2 linked regions of the Drosophila melanogaster genome follow. The protein of the gene in region 1 purifies or fractionates together with the protein of each later gene. This does not show direct contact. Each region holds a gene or a part of one and is shown on either strand. Other genes may lie near its edges.

Region 1 (8,441 bases):
CAGACAAGTTAGCCATATTTAAGGGGTTATTGCTTTGCGGTGACTGCAGTTGGTTTGAAGCTTCTCCGACTGAAGATTCGCTGGTATTGGTGGCTGAAGATGAGTCTGATTCCACAGATAAATCACGCTCCACTGGGGATGGGCGTTCCAAGGACGAATGGGAATCAGCGGATGAATCAGATTCCGCGGATGACTGAGATTCCACGGATGTATTGTGTCCCGAATTGGATTCTATGGATGAATGGGAGTCCACAGAAGAGTCGGATACACTGGAATTGGAGCTCGAACTGGATACGTTGCTGTCCGCTGACTGATCAAGAATGGATGAGTTCTACTAAATAAATCAATCATAAATCGGAATTAACTAGTTTAAAGTCCAGGGTATACTTACAAAACGGAAAATAGTCGAATCTGACATTGTTCGAGCAACAAATGACCAGGAAACTTGTGAAATGATTTCGTAGTAAAGACAAAAGCAGGTGAACCCAGATATACATGTGCTTTAGTGCAGATTGAAATGTGCAAAATAGTTTCCTCCTTTCACGCGACCATTCGGTTATTTTAAAGATGACACTTTACGGACATTCGGGAACAAGGATTTAAGATCGACTATCGATTTTTGCGGTATTATACAATGCTGTTTAGAATGACACTTGTAATTCAATAAAAATCAATAATTTATTAAAAATAAAATTTCCGTTTCGGCGAAATTCTTTGATAACAAAATAATTATAAGAAATGTATATAAATATGTCGACATTACAAAACCATACCATCACTATGTAAACGATATTTTTTAGGCGATTAAATGCCATCGATATATACCGTGCCGTGGTAGTGTTAGAAAATTGCGGGAATTAACGTTAAATGCACGTCACCAAAGCAGAATAATAGAATATTTTCGAAACAAAACAAAGTTGGAGACATGGACAAGGATGCGTTTACATTACAGGCCATACGGCAGGACCTTATCGATAACAATCTGCAGGCTAAGGCAATAATACACGTAAGTCTCCGCTATCTGAAGAGAAACCCTCATTACCGAGCTTCTGTTTTTAGGACATCCTGAACAGCCGCACCTCCATCGCCGAACTCGAGGAGCTGAACGAAGCGGGCCGCTCCAAACTGTCTGCTATCCGCAAAAGCATCGAGCGGCTGGACGACTGGGCGCGGGACACGGCAGACTCTGCGCTGGCCAATGAAGTGGACGACCACCGTGATCAGTTCTCCAAAACGCTGCAGGCGTTCCGAAAAGCAAACGTGTCCACGATGCTGGAGATCGAGAAGGCCAATCGGGAGGAGTTAATGGCCATTACCGGCGAGAGTGAGCTACGCCAACGAACCACAACACGGGCGCGGCACAACCAGGGCAGTCTGGTTTCGCAGGAGAACGACGTGACCGAGAAGATGCTGGCTATATCGCGGCACCTCTCGGAGACCACCCAGAAGAGCGCCATCACCCTGGAAACGCTCGTGGCCTCGTCGCAAAATGTGGAGGCCACCAGCGACGAACTGCACCACACGGCCGGCAGCATTAGCATGTCCGGCAAGCTGCTCAAAAAGTACGGACGACGCGAGTGCACTGACAAAATGCTGCTCTTCTTCGCCTTCTCCTTGTTCCTCGCCTGTGTCTTTTACATCGTCCAAAAGCGACTCTTCTAAGACTCCACAAATGGACAAAACCCGTTCCCAAAATAGCTTAAGGTTGTCGCTTCTGTTGTCTAGGTATAGCTAGATTAAGCTTAGCACATGACCATACCTTGTAAGCACAGCTCCTATATTTATATTATTTAGTGATTTGCCTAAGTTGTAAACGTGGTACAGCCAAAGACCCTAGAATAACAAGATGCGTAACGCCATACGATTTTTTGGCACACGATTTTTTGGCCGTGGCTCTAGAGGTGGCTCCAGGCTCTCTCGAATTTTTGTTAGAGAGCGAGAGAGCGAAGAGCGCTACAGCGAACAGCTCTTTTCAACGCACAAAGTGATAGCAGACATCTGTATGTGTGCACACGTATTCACATGCATTGTAAATTTGACAAAATATGCCCTTCACCTTAGAAGTTCTTTGGCTTTAAATCTATATTATTTTTTATCAATTGGCACCATGCGAAAAATTCTTGTTTTGCATTGCCTTAACGTTATTATTATTTGAAAATAGATTAGAAATAGTCAAATCTATGTACATATTATCACAAAAATAAATTTCAAAAATGAATTTATATAAGAATATTTGTCATTAGAGTATTCATCTTGCGGCGTGTGAAAAATTAATAAGGCAATGATTGTTGAGTGCTTGTGTCCGCACTTCGTGCCTCAAGATATGAACAAAGCAAAGACACTAGAATAATTCTATTGTCTTTGATATTACTTTTGCAATTTAATTTAATTGCATATTTAATTATTTAGTATATTTATTAAATCATTTGACTTAATATGATGTAACATTAACATTAAAAGTGTTTCAAAAAAAATATTTCGGTTTTAAAAAATTGTCAGATGAGAGACAAATTAGAATTAAACATAAATACAAATGTGTAAACGGTAGCTAATTCGAGCGGCGATTTTAACAAAGAAATTTAAAAAAGCTTTAAAATTATAATAGCCAGGGCGCGAATTTTTAAAAATTTTTTATTTTATCATATTGCTAGGAAATTGGCAAAAACTACCCTAATATGTACCATGTAAATTCGTTTCTTCGATCAGAATTGATTTCGGCCCGAAAATCGTCTTCTAGCACAACACGCACACTTATACGCGTTCTCGTCTCTTGTTTTTACTCACACAAGCAAGCAAATTATATTTTTAGATTTCTTACGCTCTAAGCGGGAGTGAGCGGAAAGAGAGTAATTTTGGCCGTCACCAAAAAAGTGGCTGCATAGTGCCAAACCAATGTATGGCCGTTACGCATCTTGTTATTCTAGTGTCTTTGGTACAGCCTAGTATAGTATGGTAAATGCAATTTATTTTTATTTAGAATATATGAGTGTTGTATATGTAGATAAAAATGTTAAGCAAGTTAGTAAGGGCACCTAGGCACTCCTCCGGGGTTTGTGAATCCGTTGGTGTTGACCAACCTGCAGATGTCCTTGTATGACCGCGCCGATTTTGCAGGCCTTTCTGGCTGTGGCTGGGAATAACCTCTGTTGTAATAGTCAGGATAGAACTGGAACCAAGAAGGCCTGTGGTAGTTGTAGTCGGGAAAAAATTCTTTAAGCACAGAGCTGCTGCAGAATCTGCTTAGCCCCAGAATCCACAGCAGAATGTATATAATCGACTTGCGCATGGCCACTTCGCCTGAGCTTAAGATTTGGAATAAAGCCGTACCCGATTCTCATTGTATACGCCTGGCGCACTTATGAAGCTTGTGCGACCTCGCACACAGTGGGAAAGTAATTGGAATCTGAAATCTATGCGTGATTGTCGGAATAGCTGATAGCGGGAGTGTTCGCGTGCCCCAGCTCAATGCTATCGTTATCTACAAACCATTCGGCCTTTAAATTGATGTATGATGAAAGTTTATTCAATGTGTGGTTTTTGACGTTTAATAAGAAAAATTCGATTTTGAGAAATGCATTTAAAATGCAATTTTTATTTATCGCAGTGAAGAATAAAATAATATATTTTTTCATTATATTTGTTACCAATTTAACAAAAATATTATGTAGTTGCTTTTTTAAAAGTCTTTCGGGTCAATAAGAAAAAAAAAGCTTACAAACAGAGTATTATGTTCTAAGGAATAGGACCTAAAAACCCTCATTACCTAATTGGTGTTTCAAAAACAGGTTTATGTGGTGCAAAAGGACAAATTTTGCTAACAAAAAAAAAAAAACACTTTTTTAAAAAAACTAACTTACAGGCGCCTAAAAAAAATTATAATCGATTTGTCATCGATTTTTTGGTCTTTAAAGTACTATAGCGGCGCATTATATACTAACCAAAACGAGTTGGCAGCACTCGTGATGTTTTGATTGAAAAAACAAATTAGTTTATTGTTTTTATCTGTTGTCGCCAAAAATATTATTTAAATCAATATGAGCACCGCCGTAGAAGTGGCTAACACGGCTCCGGAGAAGTTGGCCAACTACTTTGCGCTACAGTCGGCGTTTGAGGTAAAACGTTGATGAATGGCCCCGAAACCGGCAATGTTCCGATCTGATAGAAAATAATAATTTTCAGAAAGCCCTTGAATTGGCCATCACCGACGGCAAAGTGGAGCTGTTGGTCAAGGAGTACAATAGATTCCCGGCCAACACCGAGCACGACAAGCGCTTACCCATGGACCACGCGTTCCGCGTGCTCCTGATGAAGCGGCTGGACGAAGATGTGAGTCGCATTGGAGAGCTTGTACGCCTCTCCGTGGAAGCCACGCGGGCCGAGATTGTGTCCAACACCATACCCGTGGTTCTGCTGATCGACACCTTCGACGTGGTCACTCTGGACAAGTGCCAGAAGATATTTCAGTTTGTCGAGGATATGGTGGAGGTGTGGAAGGAGGAGATCTTCTTTTCCTCATGCAAGAACAACATTCTACGCATGTGCAACGACCTGCTGCGTCGACTTTCGCGCACCCAGAACACCGTCTTCTGTGGCCGCATCCAGCTTTTCCTCTCAAAGTTCTTTCCCTTTTCGGAGCGGTCTGGCCTCAACATCGTCTCCGAATTCAACCTGGACAACTTTACGGAGTACGGTCTGGACAGCAAAGACCACGACGAAAGCGACAACAAGGAGCTGGAGGATACCGCTGAGGACATCCCCCTAAAGATCGACTACGACCTGTACTGCAAGTTTTGGTCGCTGCAGGACTTTTTCCGAAATCCCAACCAGTGTTACAATAAGCCGCAGTGGAAGATGTTCCAGATGGTAAGCAGTGGCTTGGCACAATTACAATTGTAGAATATATATATATCTTGGAAAGAGATCAAAGATGTTTGCCAGCTAGCTTGCTCATAAATATTGGTTATTAATAATCCTGCCCCATGTTGGTTCATATTCATATATTGTTACTTTCCCCTTCCAGCACGCTGACAACATACTACAGTCCTTCTCGAGCTTCAAGCTGGAAGACGTGCGCCAAAGTAGCAACGAAAATGCGAGCGGTACTGACCAAGCAATGGATGTGGACGAGGAGGCAGTAGACACCACGGCGGTGTCTTCCGTCATCAAGGCGAATCACTTCTTCGCCAAGTTTCTAACCAATCCCAAGCTTTTGGCTCTGCAGCTCTCCGACGCTAATTTTCGACGTGCTGTTCTGGTGCAGTTTCTAATTCTATTTCAGTACCTGCAAGTCAGTGTAAAGTTTAAAAGGTTCGAATATGAAGAAAGTCCAGGGAAAACGAACAAACTTTAATGATTGTACTTTCAGTGATACTCAAACCTTGACTGCAGACCAGGCGGACTTTATCAAGGAAACAGAGTCGCGTGTTTATAAGTTGCTAGAGGAGACACCACCGTACGGTAAGCGGTTTTCACGGACAGTGTATCACATGCTGGCCCGCGAAGAGATGTGGAACAACTGGAAGAACGAAGGCTGCAAGGAATTCAAGAAGCCCGAGGAACCAACTCTCAGCGAAGAGGACTCGAAGCCAACTCCCAATAAAAGACCGCGCCGTCCATTGGGCGATGCACTGCGCGATGCTTCCCGCAGCGGCAAGTTTTATTTGGGAAAGTAAGTATCGAACGTAAGTCAAACTAAGCCAGTTCTAAAATATTTCACTTCCAGTGACAACCTAACACGTTTGTGGAACTACTCTCCAGATAACTTGCAGGCCTGCAAAAGTGAACAGCGAAACTTCCTACCGCTGCTGGAGACATATTTAGAAACGCCGCACGAAAAGGTTGATCCCGCTTTTGAGTGGCGAGCTCTGCGCTTGCTTGCCCGCCAAACACCGCACTTCTTTACGTCGCTCTCTCAGCCATCGAGCAAGATCTCCGATTATCTTGAGCAAGTGCGCAAACGTCTCATCCGGGACAAAGAGCCCAAACCTGCTGCCCTTTTATCGAACAACTCTTCTGAGAACAATTTTGGCCTGTCGGTCAACAACGTTCATACGGAGGGCGAGCAGGATGCTACGGTCGCCCTTCAGGACGGTGAACCAGAGCAGGATCTTGAAGTAGAGGACAACGAACCTGTGGTGGAAGAGGTGGATGAGGTACCGGCGCACGAGAAACCCCTTATGGTTACCAAAGAGCATATCGAAGAGGTGGCGCCCCTTATAGGCGAGCCATGGATGAAGGTGGGAAAGAAGATTGGCTTCACCAACGATGAACTTCTCTTCTTTCAAATGGAGCATCCTACGGCGAACGTGGCCTGCGTTAAGATGCTGACAAACTGGATATCCGATGACGACGACGCCACCCTGGAAAACTGGGCGTACATGCTAGAGGGATTGGAGATGAATAAGGCCGCCGAAGCGGTGAAGGCGATTATTGAGCGCGAAAAATCTGGATCCACTGCCGCCTTCTGCCTCCGGTAACGACGATGAGGTGCTCTCTGATTAGCATCATCCCCATGCCGATCCCACCCTAGTTATTATAATTTCGTTTCAATCATAAAACTTCTTTATCACAAGTAAAAGAATGGGCGAATATCTATTCCCAATCACCACTCAACGCCTCTTGGCCGGCGGACCGTTACGGGGCTTGTTGTGCACCATGTTAACGCACTTGGGGATATGACGCTCCGCAGCCTGTTCGTTGAATCGGCGACCACAGTGGGGACACTGGACATAGTCTGGATTCTCCGAAGGTGGCGGTGGTGGCAGGTCGCTCAACTTGCCGCCGCGCGCCAAGTGCGCCTTCACCTGCTTGGCCGCTCTAATCGACTGAATGAAGTCCTCGTGCTTCTTACGCCAGTTGTTCTTCTTCACTCCAGTGGTCAGACCCTTCTGCTGGGCAGCACTACTGTAAGTTGAACGGTTGCGATTGCCCTTCGACTTCATATTGAACGCCGCGGCCTCGGTGCCCTCGATCCGCTGCTTGGAGGCATCGAATATCTTGCGTTTGGTGGTCAGCATGCGCTGGCACACCTCCTCGTGCTTCGCCAGACGATCCGTGTTGAAGTGGCGTCCGCAGTAGCGGCATAAAGCGGTGCCCTCTGGGATTGCAGTCGTTGTGTCCTGGTAGCGAAGGGTAATCTTATTATACGCCCACTGCCGACAATTATTCTGCTATACTCACCATGTTGACCTTTTTAACTGGTGATTTGGGTTCCGCCTTGTTGGAAACAGACATTTAAAATAAATCCCAAATATGTTTAGCTTGAGACTGACACCTCCGTGCCACGTCGATGCTACTTACCCGTCGAACAAATGGTGGCGAAAGACGACCGGCTGTCGGGGCAGCACCGGTTCCTCCACTTACTCGTTGGGTCGCCTGAATCTTGGGACTGCGTTGTGGCGCGGGAGAACGTTGGTGGAGCGTGGTCTCCTGGGCCGGCGGTGTCTTGCGGGTGACCACGGGCTTAAGGTTGCGATTCAAAGTCCCGCGGGGCGTGGCGAACTTATTGTTATTGCTGTCACTAGTGATCCTCCTGCCTGGTGCATTTGGTGCATCCCGCATGGTCAAGTCGGCCACGCCCTTGACGAGACGCTGCATTGGGGGCTGCGGGCGAGATTTTGTTTGGGCGGGTGGCGAGGGCAGAGTGCCGATCGGCTTGAGGGGATTGCTGCGATCAATGCCCGCCCCGCGGCGGCGCTCGTCGAACATCTGGCGCACTTTCCCATTCCCGATCAACCTGGTGGTGGCGGCACTGGGTGCTCCAGTGGCCAGGTTCTCGGCACTTGACTTCGTGCTCATCAGCTCCCGCCTACGCACCTCCTGCTCCTGTTGCGTGCGCTGCTGGAAACGCATCTGAAAATTGAAGCACATTTGTTGTAAATAATTCGCTTATAATTTTCAAATCAAAACCTAGTGACCTTTTTAAAATAAAAGACTTTCCATTCAATTAGCCTTTCGTGAAAACCGAAAACATTTAAAATATCAATCATCATTTAACTGATTGCTTTGTAATTTCACCCTTTTTAATTTTCAAAAAAATGTTTTCTGTTGCAAAATGGAATTCAAAATTGCTTTCTTTTTTGGCTTACGGGTGCAGAATTTGTGCTGCTATTGCCACTAGGTGGCAGGTGACTCAAAGCCTCCATGAGGCGCCTTGCTGCCCAGGACTCGTTCAGCTTCAGGGGCAGGATGTGATCCTGGCCGAGCTCGGATTCGAAGTCGTACTGGAGCAGCTCTCCGTCCACGTCCTCGTCCCCGTCCGTCGCTTGCAACATTCCGGTCCGGAGAGCGCGTGACAACTAAGCACACGGGACTGGGGCTGGACATTAGCGCGTCCACTTCCCCCGAGTGGAGTCATTAAGTGCACAGGTTTCGGTGTGTTTGCTCGTCTATTGTGGCGATGGGGAGGTGTCACCCCCGCTTTTGGTGCCACCTCCAGGCCC
Region 2 (7,894 bases), on another chromosome or scaffold:
GCATTACAACAATTTTTTCCTGTGGATATACAAAATTGGCATTAGATTCTCACTTTATCCCAAAAACACTTACCCTCTCAGTGAGCTTATCTATTTCATGGTAGAGAAAGTTGCAGCTTTGGTCAAAATGCTGCTCTCTAAACTGACCTTTTCTGATAATTCGGTTTGGTATCTTGCCTTTTACGTCCATGAAAAACTTAAGCATCTGATTGTTACTTTTCCCGCTAAACAGAATCTTTCCCGTGTATAACTCATAAATTGTGCAGCCCGCAGACCAGGTGTCGATTCCGTAGTCATAGGGAATACCCAAAATTATCTCAGGCGAACGGTAGAACCGCGATACCAAGTACGGTGTTATTTCGTTGTCGCTGATTGCCGAAGCAGAACCAAAATCACACAATTTTAGTATCAGATTATTTTCGTTTACCAAAATGTTATCCGGCTTAATGTCAGCATGCAAAATGCCCGTCTTTTTTAACAATTTGAGCGCTAAGAATAGCTGCTGCGTGTAGCTACGCACTGCTTTGATGTGGAGTCCCACATTCTTGCCATACTTTTTAAGTACTTCCCGCAAATTCATTGCTAATGGCTCAAACACCATACAAAGATGCTATAGTGGAAATATAAAGATTGCAATTCAGTCGACACTAAGTTGTACAAACGATGAATTACCTGCTTGTGAAAGAAGTGACGATACAGTCGCAGGCAGTGGAAACGATCCTCTGGATCGGCATCGTTCAGCTTTTTTAATATTTCTAGTTCCCGCAAGCCAGTTTTGTGCCTAATAAAAGAAACAAACGGCATAAATAGGCATACAAATACAAAAAATTACAAAATACATACATTATTTCGTTGTTCCGTATGATCTTAATGGCTACATTAGCTTGCCCACGAGCTTGGTCTCTGCCACGCACTACGTTGCTGAAGACACCCTGGCCTGTGTATCCATTCACTAGGTAGCGATTGTCCAAAACTTCACCGATACGAACTCGGTAATAACCTTCAGCGTCGTCCCAATTGTCTGTGAGAGCGGGATTTTCGTGTTGATGCTTATTTTGGACGATTGTGTTGGGTGACTGGTGGGATTTGAACTCGGAATTAATAAATGGAATGAAGAATTTGAGTTTGAAATTTACAATTTTGCGACTCACATCGAAATTAGAGTCCACGTCTTGGTCAGCGAACATATCCCACTCGTTTCGTTTTTCCTTCGCGGAGCAAGTCTTTTGGCTAGTCGAGTTATCCATATCTTCGCGATCCTTTGGAATTTCCGAGATAAGTGGATTCGGGCACGGCATCGTGGGCGACGGCGTTCTTAAAGGTCTTTCGCGTTGGGATGACCCTTGTGAGGTACTCCGAGACTCGTACGAGACCGAGTTATGAGGCGCTGGCGATTCTTGCCCAGTGCCCAGCTTCTGATTACAGTTATAGGAGAAAAACAATAAGTTTACACTAACAAATATTAAAAACAAAATGTTTCCCTACCTTGAGTAGCTCCTCGCGCTTCTTTCTACGTAGCTCAATGATACGTTCTTCGTCATCTTCCTCCAAAATGTCAATGTTTACGTTCACCTCCTCATCACTGCTCTCCTTGTCGAGCTTATTTTGCCCCTCGCTCAGCGAACCCTTGTACCGATCTCTATCCCCGTTGTCTGTCCCGCTGCGAGCTCCTACGCGCCCGCCACCACGATCCCGGTCCTTTTGCCGCTCCCGCTCTCGTCGCCTGTCTGATTCAAACTTACTGCGGCTGTGCGACCGCTGCATACGACTCGGCCGAACGTCTCGCTCCCGTGCACGACCTGGTCTCATATCAGTGGGTGGCGGCGGCCTATCCAATCCTCGCCGATCCCGGTCTCGACTATGGTCCCGTCTTTCCCTTTGCTTGTCGCGATTTATTTCCTGTCGTAGGTCCTCCATGTTGCGGTTGCGGCTCCGCGGGCGAACCTGGGTCTGCTGATCTGATGCTCGCCGACGTGGGGGTGAACGGTCGCGATCCCTCGAACGACGATCCCTACGGCAACGGCTTCTCGGAGCCGCTGGGAGCGGGGATGCGTGGCGCCTTCGTTTCTCGGGTGTAGGCGAGGGGGTTCGCTGGCCTCCGCTAGAATCATCCAACAATATAACATCGGATTCATTTGAGTTATGCGTGGTAGACTTTTTAATATTAGCATGTTTACTGGTTGCAGTAGCCAACGGCGCTGCAGACTTGCTGGGTTGGGGCTGCGGTACGGATGTGACAGCTTTGAGCACTGATTTGGTGTGGACAACCAGCTGCTGCGAGTGTGTGTGTGGGAGGAGATCGCCCTTATCCTCAGCCTCGGGATCCGACATATAGGCGCCCAGGCGCGCCTGCAGAAGGGCCTTCTGCCGCATCAATTCCTCCAAATTAAGCTCGTCTTCAATAATAGACAAAATAATAGGACTGGCGGCATCGGCGGGCCTAAAATCAAGAAAGATAAGTGCGAACACCATATGAATTACGAAATCGCTCCCCTATTTTATTCCACAATACTTACACATCGCTTTCGCTGCTTGAACTGGCCACCTCCAGGACAGGCAGCATCTTATTCTGAATAGTTTTGGTGATTTCTTCAACAAGGCTGCTCGGATCCGTCGGAAGCAGGGGTTTGCCGACACGGAAATCGGCTCCATTCCGGCTGGCCTTCTGCATGATTTCTGTGAACTTGCTGCTCAGCCCGCAATTTTGTGATAGCTTTAACTTTGCGTTTTCCGGGGCGTCCGATTCGTTTGTGGATTCGCTTGTTCGGTGGGGGCGCTTTTTTGCCTTCTTCTGCTTCTTGTGGACATGCCTGTCCTTCTCGGTCTTGCCAGTCGAGGATTTTTTATGTTTTTTGTGCTTTTTAGCCTTTTTGTGCTTGGCCCGACGCTCTTCGGTCTCGCTGTTGTTGCTGGAGTCGTAGCTATTCGGTACAAGAGGGGAGCAGCCCAGGTCAATACACACACGTGCGGTCGGCTTAGTAAAATTAACCTACCTTTTGTCGTCAGCCATTATTTGATTGTTTAACAATGTAAACTGCAGATGCGCGCACACTGTGCGTTCATAAGGTGTGCGGTAATTCTGCAGATGGCTAATGAAACTTGTAATTTTCCTCTTATTGTATTCTTCCTCTTCGTAGCTTTTTTAGTGTGACTGCACGCCGGACAAAAGTAAATACGTTTTAAAAATACCTCCTGGGATTTCGGAATTATTTCTAGTATATATGCAAGTAAAATAAAAATATATTAAAATTAAATTTTATAACCCTTAAATATCGTCTTTGGCGCAAGTCTAAATTGGAAATAAAAACGAAGGAATTTCGAAACAACAGTTGAATTTGTATATTATAGTTCATGACATTTTATTTTTTTGTTTTTATTGTACATGCTAGCGCTTCTAACCTAATTGGCAACAGCTACATCCACGTCGTGCTCATCTTTGTCGATGCTTAGCTCAAGCACCGTGTCCTCTTCTACGGACATGGCTTTAGAGTCCTCAGTAGAGACTGAGTGATATTTGGGCTCGCCGCGGGCTCCGTCGAACTTTGTGGGAGTGCTATTGTTGAGATCGTCGTCTTCATCGCTTACCTCCATGATCCCATTGTCGTCTAGGTCCGGCTCAGAGCGGGCATCGCAATCGCTGGACGAGGAGGATGCCGAGGATGAGCTGTCCTGGTCCAGCTGCTGTTCCAGCTCGTGAATCGTGTACATCAGCAAAGTGAAGTCATTGCGTCGTTTCTGAAACTTGCGCTCCATCTTTAGCTTCTTTTGCACCAAGTCGTCAATCTCCCTCCTAATGGTCTCAATATGTCGCTGTGTTTCACTGCGGTCCGGTTGGTCCTGGATGAGCGAGGCCAGCAGGTCGTACTCCATCTTGTTCTTGCGAATCTGCTTGGCAGTGATTAGCTCTTTTTTACTGGATTCGATTTCCGCTTTAGCCAAAACAATACTTTCTTCGTGGTGTTCAACTAGTTGTGTGTAGTTGTCACGCTCACCGGCGATCATCTGCAGAGTTTGTACATTCTTTAACGCAGTGAGCTTGCACTGGGCGAATTGGGCCATCAGTCGGTCGTACATGATGGGACTGTAATTCGGAAAAGAGGAGATATGTACACCATGTTTTGAATACACACATATCCAATTTCTTACTTGCTGTCCAGCGAGTCACTGGCCCACTTCAAGAACTGTTTCAGCAACACTACTATTCTCCGATCCTCTCCAGTTCCATCCCCGTCAATCAGCAGGCGCTGCTTTATGATTTCTTCTGGAAGATCAGTTTAAATATCTATTCCCAAATGCGAAAATAAACAAAAACAACTTACCGTCATTCATCTCCACTAATTTCCGAACTAGCGTATCGGAGTGTGGCCGAAGCTGACACTGCTCCGACATACCACGCAGTACGGTCCTACTGTACTTGTCCTATCATTTTAATTTGGAGAAAGTATTGAATTATGCCTTACCCTTTATATCCCGCCCATAGCCAAGTGTAGTGCCGTACACTTTCGGACATCAGCGAATCCCATTAACTAAGTGCACTTCTTGCAGAATGTCGGAAACGTCAAGCGTCAACGTGGATGCGGACCGAGATTGCAGAAGGATTGAGGGCCTCCGACAGCGCTCACAACGCCTTGCTGCCCGCCTCCAGCAGATGCAGAGGGAAATGGAGTCTAATGCATCCAGCAAAGACCTATCGGCCAACAATGCCGTTATTCCGCTGCAGCCACTAATGCGCTGGGCGGAACCACGGCCACATCCCAACCAATCCCAACCATCTGCTCGGAGCAACAGCAGGCAGGCCATTCCTTACGGTGTGCCAGTATCCACGCCAGCGCCGGTAGCTATGCAATTGCCCTACCACGTAGCATTCGCCTCCTACCAGGCGACCATGCAGATTCCCTGCCTTCAGCCACTTTCGCATTTGCACGTCGTGTCTAGTCCCAGCCATCGGTTAATAGCGAAAAAGAAGTCGAAGCGGGCTCTTCGAAATGAGGTGGAAGCTCTTCAGGATATGGTCAAACATCTTTCACACCTCTCCCCAGATGTTAACGCGTATGCCTGCCAGCTGATACGTAAAAACGAGATCCTTTCTCAGCTCGAGTGGAGTCAGACCAGGTCAGAAGCACATCCGCAACAGGTTGGTTACCAGGGGCGGCATCGCCACGATTCTGAGGTCTCTGCTACAAACAATGGAAGTCATGTACAGCAGCAACCGAAACTAGGACGAAGGCAACGCAATAGCAAGAAAAACGATGGATCCGGTAGCAATGGGACCCAATCGCAAAAAACCGAACTAGAGGCCATGCGGTCGTACATAAACAAGATTGTCCAACGTCACGTGGGTATGGATCACCAGTTGTCGGAAGACTTGATTTTCAAAGGTAACTTCTCCGACCTGGAAGCGCATGCGCAGAGACTAGTTGCGGCGGGTTATGGGCGCATTGTAGAAGAGGAAATCCGGGTTAACCGCAAGAACAACAGACAGGCCTTTATAATCATGTCCACTGATCGAGAAGCACTCGAACGAGATGGCATCGTGCTCTTGCCAGTGGCTAGGCGCTATGCCTTCGATGGTGACAAAGTACGTGCATTCGTGCTAAACCCTGGTGCTCAGGGTAGTTCAAAGACAGCTGAGCCCTCGTCTGGTGAAATCTCTGGTGGGAAGCCCTCATTATCTCTTGGTAAGTTTATCGGCAAACTTATAATACTTTCGACTGATGATAATATCCTATAAAGCGGATGGTGAGGAGCTTTCGGACGATACCGAGTCCCAGGGCTCTGAGTCCGATACCGACAACGTGGTCGTGATATCGTCGGACAACTGCCCTAAAGCGTTCGTCATAGCAATAACTAAACGAACTGAGCTCCGCCAGATCGTGGGAACCATATCGTTTACGAACCCAACCAAACTCTGTGACGACCAGCTATTCTACAAATTCCGACCGTACGATTTGCGTGTCCCCATGGTCTACGTTCCGAAGGATGCCTGTGCCGCCCACATCGGAAACAAGCAGCAAATAGACGTGTCCGGCCTCTTATACCTTGCCCATATACTCGAGACAGATTGCAATGGGCACTGCATCGCTGAACTAATCCAGCCGGTTGGCCGCGTGGGTAATTTGGATGACGAACTTAAGGCAATTCTGTTTCATAACGGTCTCCGGGATATAAAGCCATTTGAGCAACGATTTATCGACATTTACTCCCAGCCGCCACCTCCGATAAGCCAAGAGGATCTGCGTCAACGAAAAGACTTAAGAAAGATGTGCATATTTACTATAGATCCGATGACTGCTCGCGATTTGGATGACGCCGTTTCTATAGAGAAGCTAGGCGACAACGAATATGAGATTGGCGTCCATATATCCGATGTTTCGCACTTCCTGATAGAGGACAATGAACTGGATAACATAGTGAAGGAACGCTCTACGTCTATTTATTTAGCCAACGAGGTAATCCACATGCTGCCTCAGTCTCTATGCATGCGATGTTCCCTGCTCCCTGGGCAAGACAAGTTTGCTTTTTCCGTCTTCTGGCGGATGAACGGGAAGGGAGTCATGCTGCAAAAGAAGCCAGAATTTTGCCGCACAGTCATTAACTCTTGCTCGCAATTTGCTTATGAACACGCTCAAAAGATCATCGACAACCCTAATGAACGGTTTACCGAGAACGACTTTCCGACCATCCTGAATGGATTTAATCCCGATGATATCAGAAATAGGGTGCTATGGCTGCACGACATTGCAAGCTCCATCCGTAAGACACGTTTAGACAATGGCGCACTCACAATTAACAATGCCAAGCTACGCTTCCTGCTCGATCCAATTACTGGCGAGCCGTTGTCTTTTGAAGTGGAGAAACAGCGAGAGGCTAACCGGCTGATTGAAGAGTTTATGCTCCTGGCCAACCAGGCAGTCGCCCGCTTTATACACGACTCCTTTCCGGATATCGCTGTACTGCGTAACCACCCTCCGCCACTTATTAAGTCCCTTAAGGCTTTAAGGGAAAAGCTGCTTGCTCTGGGATTCGAATTGGACTATAGCTCGTCTAAGGCGCTCCAGGAGAGCATGGTGCGGTTGTGCAATGAGGCGCCCAATCCTGTCGCAATGAATGCCTGCCTAAGTCAGCTTTTGATGAAACCAATGGCCCGTGCAACGTGAGTGTCTCAGTTTTCAAATAATTACTCTTCCCACAATTTCCCCCCTTTAGATATTTTTGTAGCGAGGGTAAATCGGAACCGGCTGACCTGTGGCACTACGCCTTGTCCATACCCATATACACTCACTTTACTAGCCCAATCCGTCGGTATCCTGATATTTTGGTGCACCGGTAACTGTCACTTACCTTGGAAGTTCGCCTCCCGTACTTAAAATTTCCTCCACTCTAGACTTTTGGCGGCCGCACTTAAATATTGTACACCGCCTAAACGTACCCCAGATGATTTGCACACCTTAACGAAATTAGCGAATGAGCGCAAGTACAATGCGAAAAAGGCCGGAGAGGACTCTGGTAACTTGTACTTCAAACGATATGTTCACAACAAGCAGGGCATATACATGCGAGCTGTGGTCATTGAAATATTTCAGCATATGATGAACGTAGTTACTCTGGAGTCGGGCCACGTTATAAGCATTAACTACAAAATGCAAAAGGTCCTCGTAGACACACACGGCGTACCCAATTACATTCTTATTGCCGAGCGCAACTTAAAGCAGTCACCTAGGAAGTTGCAGCTGCTTTCCGTGGTCCCCATATGTCTGATCATTTGGGACCAAAAACTAACTGGATTTTTAAAGATGGAAGAACAAATTTAGGAAAAAAAGGAGCAGACGAGCAGATGTAATTCTTCGCATAGGAACAACCCAAAGCAACTGCACCGTATTTTTTCAATAAGCCA

Evidence for each region. The genes of interacting proteins can lie anywhere in the genome.
Region 2: the proteins of Hpr1 (region 1) and thoc7 purify together in Drosophila melanogaster (affinity purification with mass spectrometry, with the first as the bait; 2 studies listed by BioGRID). This does not show direct contact.

Annotation. Positions count from the first base shown.
Region 1 is NT_033777.3:5,816,926-5,825,366, reverse strand, and holds Hpr1 (Hpr1), read left to right. Parts: upstream 1-3,926; 5' UTR 3,927-4,034; coding exon 4,035-4,112; intron 4,113-4,179; coding exon 4,180-4,863; intron 4,864-5,020; coding exon 5,021-5,307; intron 5,308-5,365; coding exon 5,366-5,668; intron 5,669-5,722; coding exon 5,723-6,476; 3' UTR 6,477-6,573; downstream 6,574-8,441. Other genes in the region: dgrn (degringolade), read right to left, coding at 1-331, 392-418; Sec20 (secretory 20), read left to right, coding at 926-1,006, 1,060-1,662; CG46303 (uncharacterized protein), read right to left, coding at 3,020-3,286; CG42675 (uncharacterized protein), read right to left, coding at 6,609-7,118, 7,180-7,215, 7,300-7,851, 8,088-8,273.
Region 2 is NT_037436.4:208,299-216,192, forward strand, and holds thoc7 (thoc7), read right to left. Parts: upstream 4,390-7,894; coding exon 4,320-4,389; intron 4,262-4,319; coding exon 4,147-4,261; intron 4,082-4,146; coding exon 3,400-4,081; 3' UTR 3,338-3,399; downstream 1-3,337. Other genes in the region: Prp4k (Pre-mRNA processing factor 4 kinase), read right to left, coding at 1-19, 74-610, 673-781, 844-1,076, 1,137-1,415, 1,486-2,440, 2,517-2,921, 2,994-3,010; Dis3l2 (Dis3 like 3'-5' exoribonuclease 2), read left to right, coding at 4,452-4,486, 4,546-5,678, 5,734-7,153, 7,207-7,326, 7,385-7,811. UniProt on the Drosophila melanogaster protein: The THO complex is required for cell proliferation and for proper export of heat-shock mRNAs under heat stress.